Linked DNA regions of Caenorhabditis elegans. The protein of the gene in region 1 purifies or fractionates together with the protein of each later gene. This does not show direct contact. Each region holds a gene or a part of one and is shown on either strand. Other genes may lie near its edges.

Region 1 (5,097 bases):
TGCCTTCTTCCTATATTATACTGTAGGAGTACTGTATGTGATAAACGGTAGGGTACTGTAGGTGGTAAACGGTAGGTGTACTGTAATTTTTTGTTCAAAAACTTTTTTTTTCCCTCTCATAACTTTGCCGTCGTTTGAGCTATTCTGATTCTGAGCCAAATATATGAAACCTTGAAGATTTCTTAAGCGAGAGACGAAAAAAATTTTGAAAATCGAGTCATACATCACAGAGATAATCGACCGAATAGAAAAATAATGCCTTTTTTGATTTTTGATTTTTCAACTTTGAGCGTTTGTTAATTGGTTTGTTTAAGTTTAATTTTAATTCTGTTTTTTTTAATAGACTCAGAATTTGACGCTGAATTCAAATATGTAAGATTTTTTTCCAGCTTTAAAAATGAAAAAGTTATGAAAAAAAACTAACATTTCATCTCCTCATCAAAGTTTTCGAAATATCTTTTATGTTTTTACATTTTCTTTTTAAAATTGAAAAATCTTTTCAGCATATTTCTTTCATCTTAGAGAAACTGAAAATTCAGCGCCCAGGGCGCTAAATAATTATTCAAAATTTTTAAATTAGAAACAACTCCTTAGCATATTCCATCAATCTTAGAAATAGTTCAAATCAGCGACGAAGGCGCTGAATAAGTCTTCAAAGTTTTAAATTAGAAACAACTCCTTAGTATGTTTCTTTATTTCAGAAACTTTGAAAAATTCAGCGCCGAAGGCGCTGATAACTCTTAGGAATTTTTGAATTTAGAACAACTCCTTAGAATATTTTTCTAATCTTAGAGAAGATTCAACTTAGCGCCCAAATAATTTTTAAGAATATTTCAATGTGAAACAACTCCTTAGAATATTTCTTTAATCTTAGAGGAACTGAAAACTAAAGCGCCGGAGCCGCTAAATGATTTTTCAAAATATTAAATTAGAAACAAATCTTTGGAATATATTTTGAATTTCAAGGTGAACACACTTAACCCCAACACAGGTTTGAGGCAAAGCCGAGAACCTGCGCCAGCTACCTTGTTGATACTTTAGAGCGAAATAACCCTATCCCCACTCCCGAAGGGATAGCGCACTTTGTGCGCTAGTCTTAAAAATTTTTTTTTTAATTGAAGGTTTACAAACAAATTTGAACTTTTAAAAAGCTTTGCTATGTAGGAAAAAGGATACTCAATTCAAGAAATGGTATGTAGAAAAATCGATTTAAAAAAAGTTTTTTGATTTTTGATTTTTAATTTTAAAAGTTTAGTCCCAATAATTCAATAAAGTTTTTCCAGAAATAGAGCAAATTCGAAAAATAGCTGAGCTAATGGGCAATCCAACGGAACCGGACGAAGTTTCGGATGAAAAAGACGATAGTTCTGAATCAGACTACTAGTTGCTGAAAAAATAATTTATAAGTTTATTTTAGTCACATTGTTGATAGTTATAAATATTTTTTTGAAATAAAAAAAACCAAAAATGTGTTTTTTGCACTGAAAATGTTGCGTTGGCTCAGTTGCAGGGTAAACCCATCAATTCATAACTTCAGCAAGAAGTCCAAATTGTGTTAAGTTCGAGATCCCTTTAGAAAGCAATCTTGCACTTATTTTACTTTTTCTTAAATCTACAGTTCAAATTATTAAACAAAAATATCTGAAATCAAGAAAAGTTTATCTTCACGGATGCTGAAAGTTTATAGACTTGTGGAAGTGTTCTATGATCACTTCTCATGTTGCACTGAGTGGACTTTGGAGACGTGCATAAAGCGCATGACTCTAACGCCCACGCGGCCTCTGAGCAGGGAGCGTCACGCCCTCACGAGTATATAAGCCGACTAGAGAATAACATCCTCAGTCGAGAAAGACCTTGCCTGCTGGCGCCGGACGAAAGTAAGACTCTCGTCGTCTGGCACAGCAACGACTCAATAAATGCTTTAGCACACAATCAAAGTGTTTTTGCATGATGTTTAACCATAAGCTGTGGCACCGGTTTATGACCGTTAACAGACTCCTCCAGTATATAAGGTTGTCCAAACAACTTAATTTTTCATATTTTGTGCAACACTATCTTGCTGAAATGAAAGAAACCGGCCCGTGTTGTTACATTCTGCTCATTTTAATTTTTCCGCCAATCGCCGTCTACGTGAAAGAGGAAAGATGCTCTCTGTCAGTTTGGCTCAACCTTTGTTTCTGCATCCTCTGCTGGTTTCCGGGGGTGCTTCATGCTATAGTCGTCTGTTTCTGCTTGAATTATTTATTTTATTTACTTACTATCAAGAAATGAATTCTTGAGATTAATTTATTTAGAAGAATATAATACTGAATTACAATTAAAGAGAAGAAAAGGGGAAGATAGCGGTCTACATCTAGAAAGGAAGCATTGGTATTATATAATATAATATAAAAGAAGGAACTTATATAGGTCTGTTTTTAATCGAATTATAATGATATTGGGGTTGGCGTGAATCATATGAATAGGAAAAGAAGGGAAACGTTTTGGTTTGAATCATAAGGATCAAATATCATATTCAAAGAGGGAAAGATTTGACACTTACATACAATTAGATTAATTTTTCCATGTACAGATTATCTCAGACCACAGGATATGTAGTTGCTGACTAACATTTCACTGCTAATGTGTAAGCGGCCACTGATTGAATATTGTGGGAGAATTAAAATTTGGACTCTGAATGAAATTGCTTCATAATAAAGCAAAAAGTTATCCAAATTTCTATATTTATCATGTTTTTGGATACTGTAGTTAAAAGGTATAAACGCTTTATATTATATTTTAGTTTTCAAAATACATATATAGGGAAAGCCTCATGCAAATTTGTCTAGAAAAATGATTTGAAATTGTTCAAGAAGTATGAAAATGTTAAAAAGCGTACAGTTAAACAAATTTAAGATTTTGGAATTTGTCAATCAGTAGGTTTATATTAATCTTAAAAATGATAAAATCTGCAAACCCGGATTTTAAAATAATATAATAAAAAAATAATAAAAATTTTAAATAATATAATACATAAAACTATAGAACAATTTCCAGAGAACTGTTTAGATTTTTTGTTGAATAGAAAGTTTCCACAGAAAATTTCAAAAACCGCCTTTGGAGCAATTTAACTGGTAAAACACGGAGCTAATAGTAAGCAAAAATTTCAAATTTTTTCACAAAATTTCAATCACAAATATTTTCTAAAAAATGTTAAAAATAAAACAAAAAATTACTAATTTAAATTGCTTTGTTACGTGACACATTTTATGATGACAAACATACTTGTTTATCAGACATGAAATCTCAATCTCAGTTATTTTATATTTTTAATGGCAAACAAGAAGAGTACGAGTAGCTGCTATGAAAAGCCAATCGCTCAGAAATTATTTTATGGATTAGCTGTAAGTTTTTGGATGCCTCCGAAACCGAAATCCGAAACCGAAAAAAAAAGAGAGTTTTCAGGACCATCCAAATCACGGTGTATTTTCGTCGATTCTGAAGAAAAAGAATCGCTTGTTTTCGATGACTGATGACGTGAAGAAGCTTTGCAATCAAGTTGAAGCTTATAAAGAAGCCGCAGATCGACTTCATCAGGCACTGATTCAAATGTTCGTTGAGAATCAGGAACTTATGAAAGCTGATACGAATTATCAGTACGCTGGGCAGTATCTAAAGACGTATCAGGCGATAAATCAGAAAGGAAGAAAGTTGGGTACGAAGGTTGACCCCAAAGAAATGGATGTGAGTTTAGTTGCAGAATTGATCAGAAAAGTGACGCGACATTCAGTTTCTAGAGCGAATCCTGTTGAAAATCGAGGAAGTTGGAACGACTTTTTTGCACCTAAGAAATTTGGTATATTTTCTAGGCTTGGATTTTTAGGCTTAACAATTTAGGCTAAGGGCTTTTAAATGTTAAAATGTAGGCTTAGGCTTTTCAAATAAACCATTTAAGCCCAGGTAATCAGGCTTAGGCTCCCCAATTTTTTGGCTTATGGAATGGCACCTGATAATAAGGACACAAATTTCAGAGCTTAGAACCGGCTATCCAAACCTTGCTCAATCTGGATTCCATACAAGCAAAGCAAGTCCAAAGGCATCTGGAAAACTTGTCGGCGTTGACAAAATTCATTGGCGTCGACTATTGGGAGTACGCAAGGCTTCGAAAGAGTAAGAATAAAAGGGTCTATAATATGAATCTAAATAAAAAATTTCAGTTTATTGGCTCTCGCTGGAAACCTACGACGACGCAATCAGTCAGCAGAATAAGGAGCGAACGGAGCAAGCCGAACTCGCGGCGGGAAATGCTCAGACATGGAGGAATGAGTGCAGACAGAAGGTTATTGACTTTATCAATAAGTCGATTAATGAGCAGAAGGGGAAACACGCGGATGCAGTTTTGAAGTAAGTTTTGGAACTACTCCCCGAAAAAAAAAAATTTTAAGGTTTCGTGACGATTCAATTCTCTTCCACAAATCCATTGCTGAAGCTATCCCAATATTTGATGATAGAGCACTGCCAAAGAGTAAAGAAAAGCCATTGAAATCCAAATGAAACTTGTCCGAATAAAGAATTATGTGATTTTTATTGCTTGCAACTTCAAATGTGTTATATTTGATTTTAGTCATCAGTTTACAGCCACATCAGCCACAAGGCACCCCTGATTCCACCAAAAGGTGCGCGGCGATTGCCGACGGGTAATTCTACAATTTCAGGCAGAGATGTGTTTTCCCAATATTTTTCATTAAATTTTAGTGAAAAGATGTAGAAACTATGTGATCTCTCCCATAATAACGCAATTGCCGCGCAACCCGGATTCTATCCCTCTCCATCGCCTCAACATTCGCCCGCTATTTCACTTTTTTCGAATGGCATTTTGGAAACGTTTTTTGAATAGCTAAGGTTGCTATGGGGTGGCTCATCACGTCCCACACAACACCCCTAGCTTTAACAATAAATTTACGCTGAAAACAGAACAGAAATGAATCACATTTTATTCTCTCAAGTGCTATAGTCTACTTCAGTGCTTCAACCTTCTCGACATTATTTCTCCTTTTTTCCATCTTTCTTCTTATCCAATTTGTTTGACTTGCAAGCGACTGGTTCCTGCAGAGTTTC
Region 2 (2,803 bases), on another chromosome or scaffold:
AATTTTTGCGGTTTTTTCATTTTTTTCACCTAAAATTTCGAATTTTCTTCAGTTTCCCGCCAAAAATAGAAAAAAAATAATATGAATTTTGCCATTTTAAGCTGAATTTCCCGTCGGAAACGGGAAAAATTGCAGATTTTATCGACTTTTCAGCCATTTTTTCACCGAATCTCGGCTTTTCCGCGAAAAAAAAAGGGAAAATTGATGAAACTCCTGGGTTTTACGTGTAAAATCAGTGCTTTCTCGAATTTTTTGGGTGAAAATTGGCCGAATTTTTCAATTTCCCATGAGCTTTGAGCCATTTTTCATCGATTTTTCCAGGTTTCCGTCCACTTACTGGACATGCTGCTGATATCCAGCAGGTTCCATGTACGCATCATCACAATAGGGACACCGATATCCCCATTCAGCTTTTGGAGTGTGATTTCGGAGTTTATGACGGTGTAGAGTCATTTGGGAGGCTGAAAAATCAATTTTTAGGCAGTTTTTTCGCGAATTTCCGCCAAAACCTGCAGCATAAACGCAATGTTCACATTGAAATGGCCGTGATTTGTTGTGAATATTCATATGCTCTGTATAACTCCGTTTTGACGATAATTCCTTCCGGCAAACTCTGAAAAAATTGAAAAAAATTCGATTTTTTCCAGAAATTTCTCACCCGCAGGTCCAAGTCTGCTTCATTGTCCTTCCATTCGAAGTTTGTCGGAATTTTTGAGTCGTCGGAAGTGCCAAATTCGATGGTCCCGGCTTCATGATGAGATGTTGCCAGTTTTCCTGAATTTCTGGATTATTTACGGAAATTCCCAGGTTCCGACTCACTTTACTGACGAAATGCTCACTTTTCGACATTTCCGGTGGTCTGAAAATCAAGAAAATCGATTTTTTCATCAAAAAACTCGAAAAAACATTGGAAAAATGAGAAAAATCCAGAAAAAATGACGAAAAACCGAGGAAAATAGGCGAAAAATTCAATGTCTCGAAAATAATGCAAGTGCGCTCCATTGGACTCGAAACGGTGAAATGCGCGCGAAATTCGAATTGGAAGAAAAATTTCGGTGGATTTCAGAGGTTTTCAGAGGTTTCAAGCTACCAAGAAAAAAAAATACACTTTGAACATTAGAAAATGTGTGGGAATTTGAAAAATAATTGAAAATCACTTTAGAAGCCCGAAAATTAAAGAAAATCGTCAAGAAAGTGGATTTTAACGAACAAATGACGAAGAAATCTTGAGAATTTCAATTTTTACGTATCATTTCAGTATTAATGTCGATTAATAAACATTTTTTGCCCAATAAAGTCAATTTCCAAGTTTCCAGCGAATAATCTCTGAAAATGCACAATAGGAAAACACAGAAAATATATAAAATTTGTCGTTTTTATTCATATTTTACAATAATCTTCAAAATTAGATGAATTATTCAATAAAACACGCTAAAGTCAAGCAGATATTCCTGCAAATTAAATTCAAATTCAAATTTCCCGCAGTTTTTTCAAAAGTACGCAGTACACCGCGACGCAAAAATGCACAAATCATCATTTTTTCGAATTCGGCGGCGCATTTTGAAAAAAAAGTCTTTTTTGTCCGTTTTTCAGCGAATTTTTTGCTTTTTCCATAGTTTTTTGCTTTTAATTTGAAAATCTACGCTAAATTCTAGTAAAAACTGTGCAATTTGCCACTTTTCCCCCCCTGAAAACCAACATTTTTGAGGTTTTTTCACCTTTTCTCCCAAAACTCGAGTAAAAATTTGAATTTTTCAGCAAAAATGGCCGATAATGGGAACGAGGAGGACCGAAACGGCTACATCATCAACCGAACTCGATTTGCCGCCGATTTTCACAACAGAAATGAAGATTTATCGGAATGGGAAGAGATGCGAGGCATCGAATGGTACTTTTTATGCCAGAAAACTCCCTGAAAACCTTAATTTTTCCAGGGATCTCATTCTTCACAGCGACGGAGGCCAACTTTACACACAGCTGGTCACTCGTTCTCGGCTACAATACGAAATCCCATGCAAATTCCTGCTGGAAGCTCAATATGGACAAGTAAAAGTCGGAGAAAACTTTGATGTGACAGTTTCTTCACGGAATCATACATTCGGAATGCGAATTGACCAACCTGCTGACAATGGAGCCATCAAGATTACTGCTTATATTGATTTCTGAATTTCCACTTGAATTTATGCAATTTGTGATATATTTTTAATTGTAACTATGTGTATACTTTGAATTAATTTCTTATTCTGTCGATTATCAGTGAAATATTGAATTTTAACCAATTTTATGATTATTTTCTCAAGTTTTCCGTAAAGGAAATCAAATATTTCGAAATAAATTCTGTTGGAGTACTGTAGTCGGCGAAGTACGCAATATCAAGTGTTTGCGTACTCGGCATTCTAATTGACGAGCTTCTGGCTCATTTTTAGATTTTCTTGGTTGTTTTTCACTTAAAAGTAGAGATTAACGTTTAAAGTGCGATTTTTTTGCTAATTTCTGCTGAAAAATAGAGTGTTATAACAAAATGTTTCTTTTCGTATGATTTTTCTCTTATTCTTTTCAATTTTCTGGCAATTTCCCTTGGTAAGAACATTTTCGCCAGAAAAATGACCGATAATTTGGAAGAAAAAATGAATTCGTTGAAAATGTAAGAATTTTACGGTTTAAATTGCCACATCTACTGATAAATTGAGTGGACTGAAATTATGAGAATTTGACGGATTTTCAGTGAATTTAACTAAGAAAAAATACACTTTCTCGAATTCAAACCTAAAACTTTTTTTTCAGCTCCAACACGGCCTCTCTT

What was found.
Region 2: the proteins of Y37F4.1 (region 1) and Y59A8B.12 fractionate together in Caenorhabditis elegans (co-fractionation; one large-scale study listed by BioGRID). This does not show direct contact.

The regions. Positions count from the first base shown.
Region 1 is NC_003279.8:10,856,237-10,861,333, forward strand, and holds Y37F4.1 (BAR domain-containing protein), read left to right. Parts: upstream 1-1,850; 5' UTR 1,851-2,409; intron 2,410-2,572; 5' UTR 2,573-2,755; intron 2,756-3,275; 5' UTR 3,276-3,311; coding exon 3,312-3,383; intron 3,384-3,444; coding exon 3,445-3,723; intron 3,724-4,010; coding exon 4,011-4,149; intron 4,150-4,196; coding exon 4,197-4,383; intron 4,384-4,424; coding exon 4,425-4,533; 3' UTR 4,534-4,562; downstream 4,563-5,097. Other genes in the region: Y37F4.2 (Sec-independent protein translocase protein TatA), read left to right, coding at 1,284-1,384; Y37F4.5 (START domain-containing protein), read right to left, coding at 5,023-5,097.
Region 2 is NC_003283.11:18,085,179-18,087,981, reverse strand, and holds Y59A8B.12 (MATH domain-containing protein), read left to right. Parts: upstream 1-1,757; 5' UTR 1,758-1,763; coding exon 1,764-1,888; intron 1,889-1,934; coding exon 1,935-2,166; 3' UTR 2,167-2,273; downstream 2,274-2,803. Other genes in the region: slr-2 (Synthetic with Lin-35/Rb), read right to left, coding at 338-461, 510-613, 659-774, 820-849.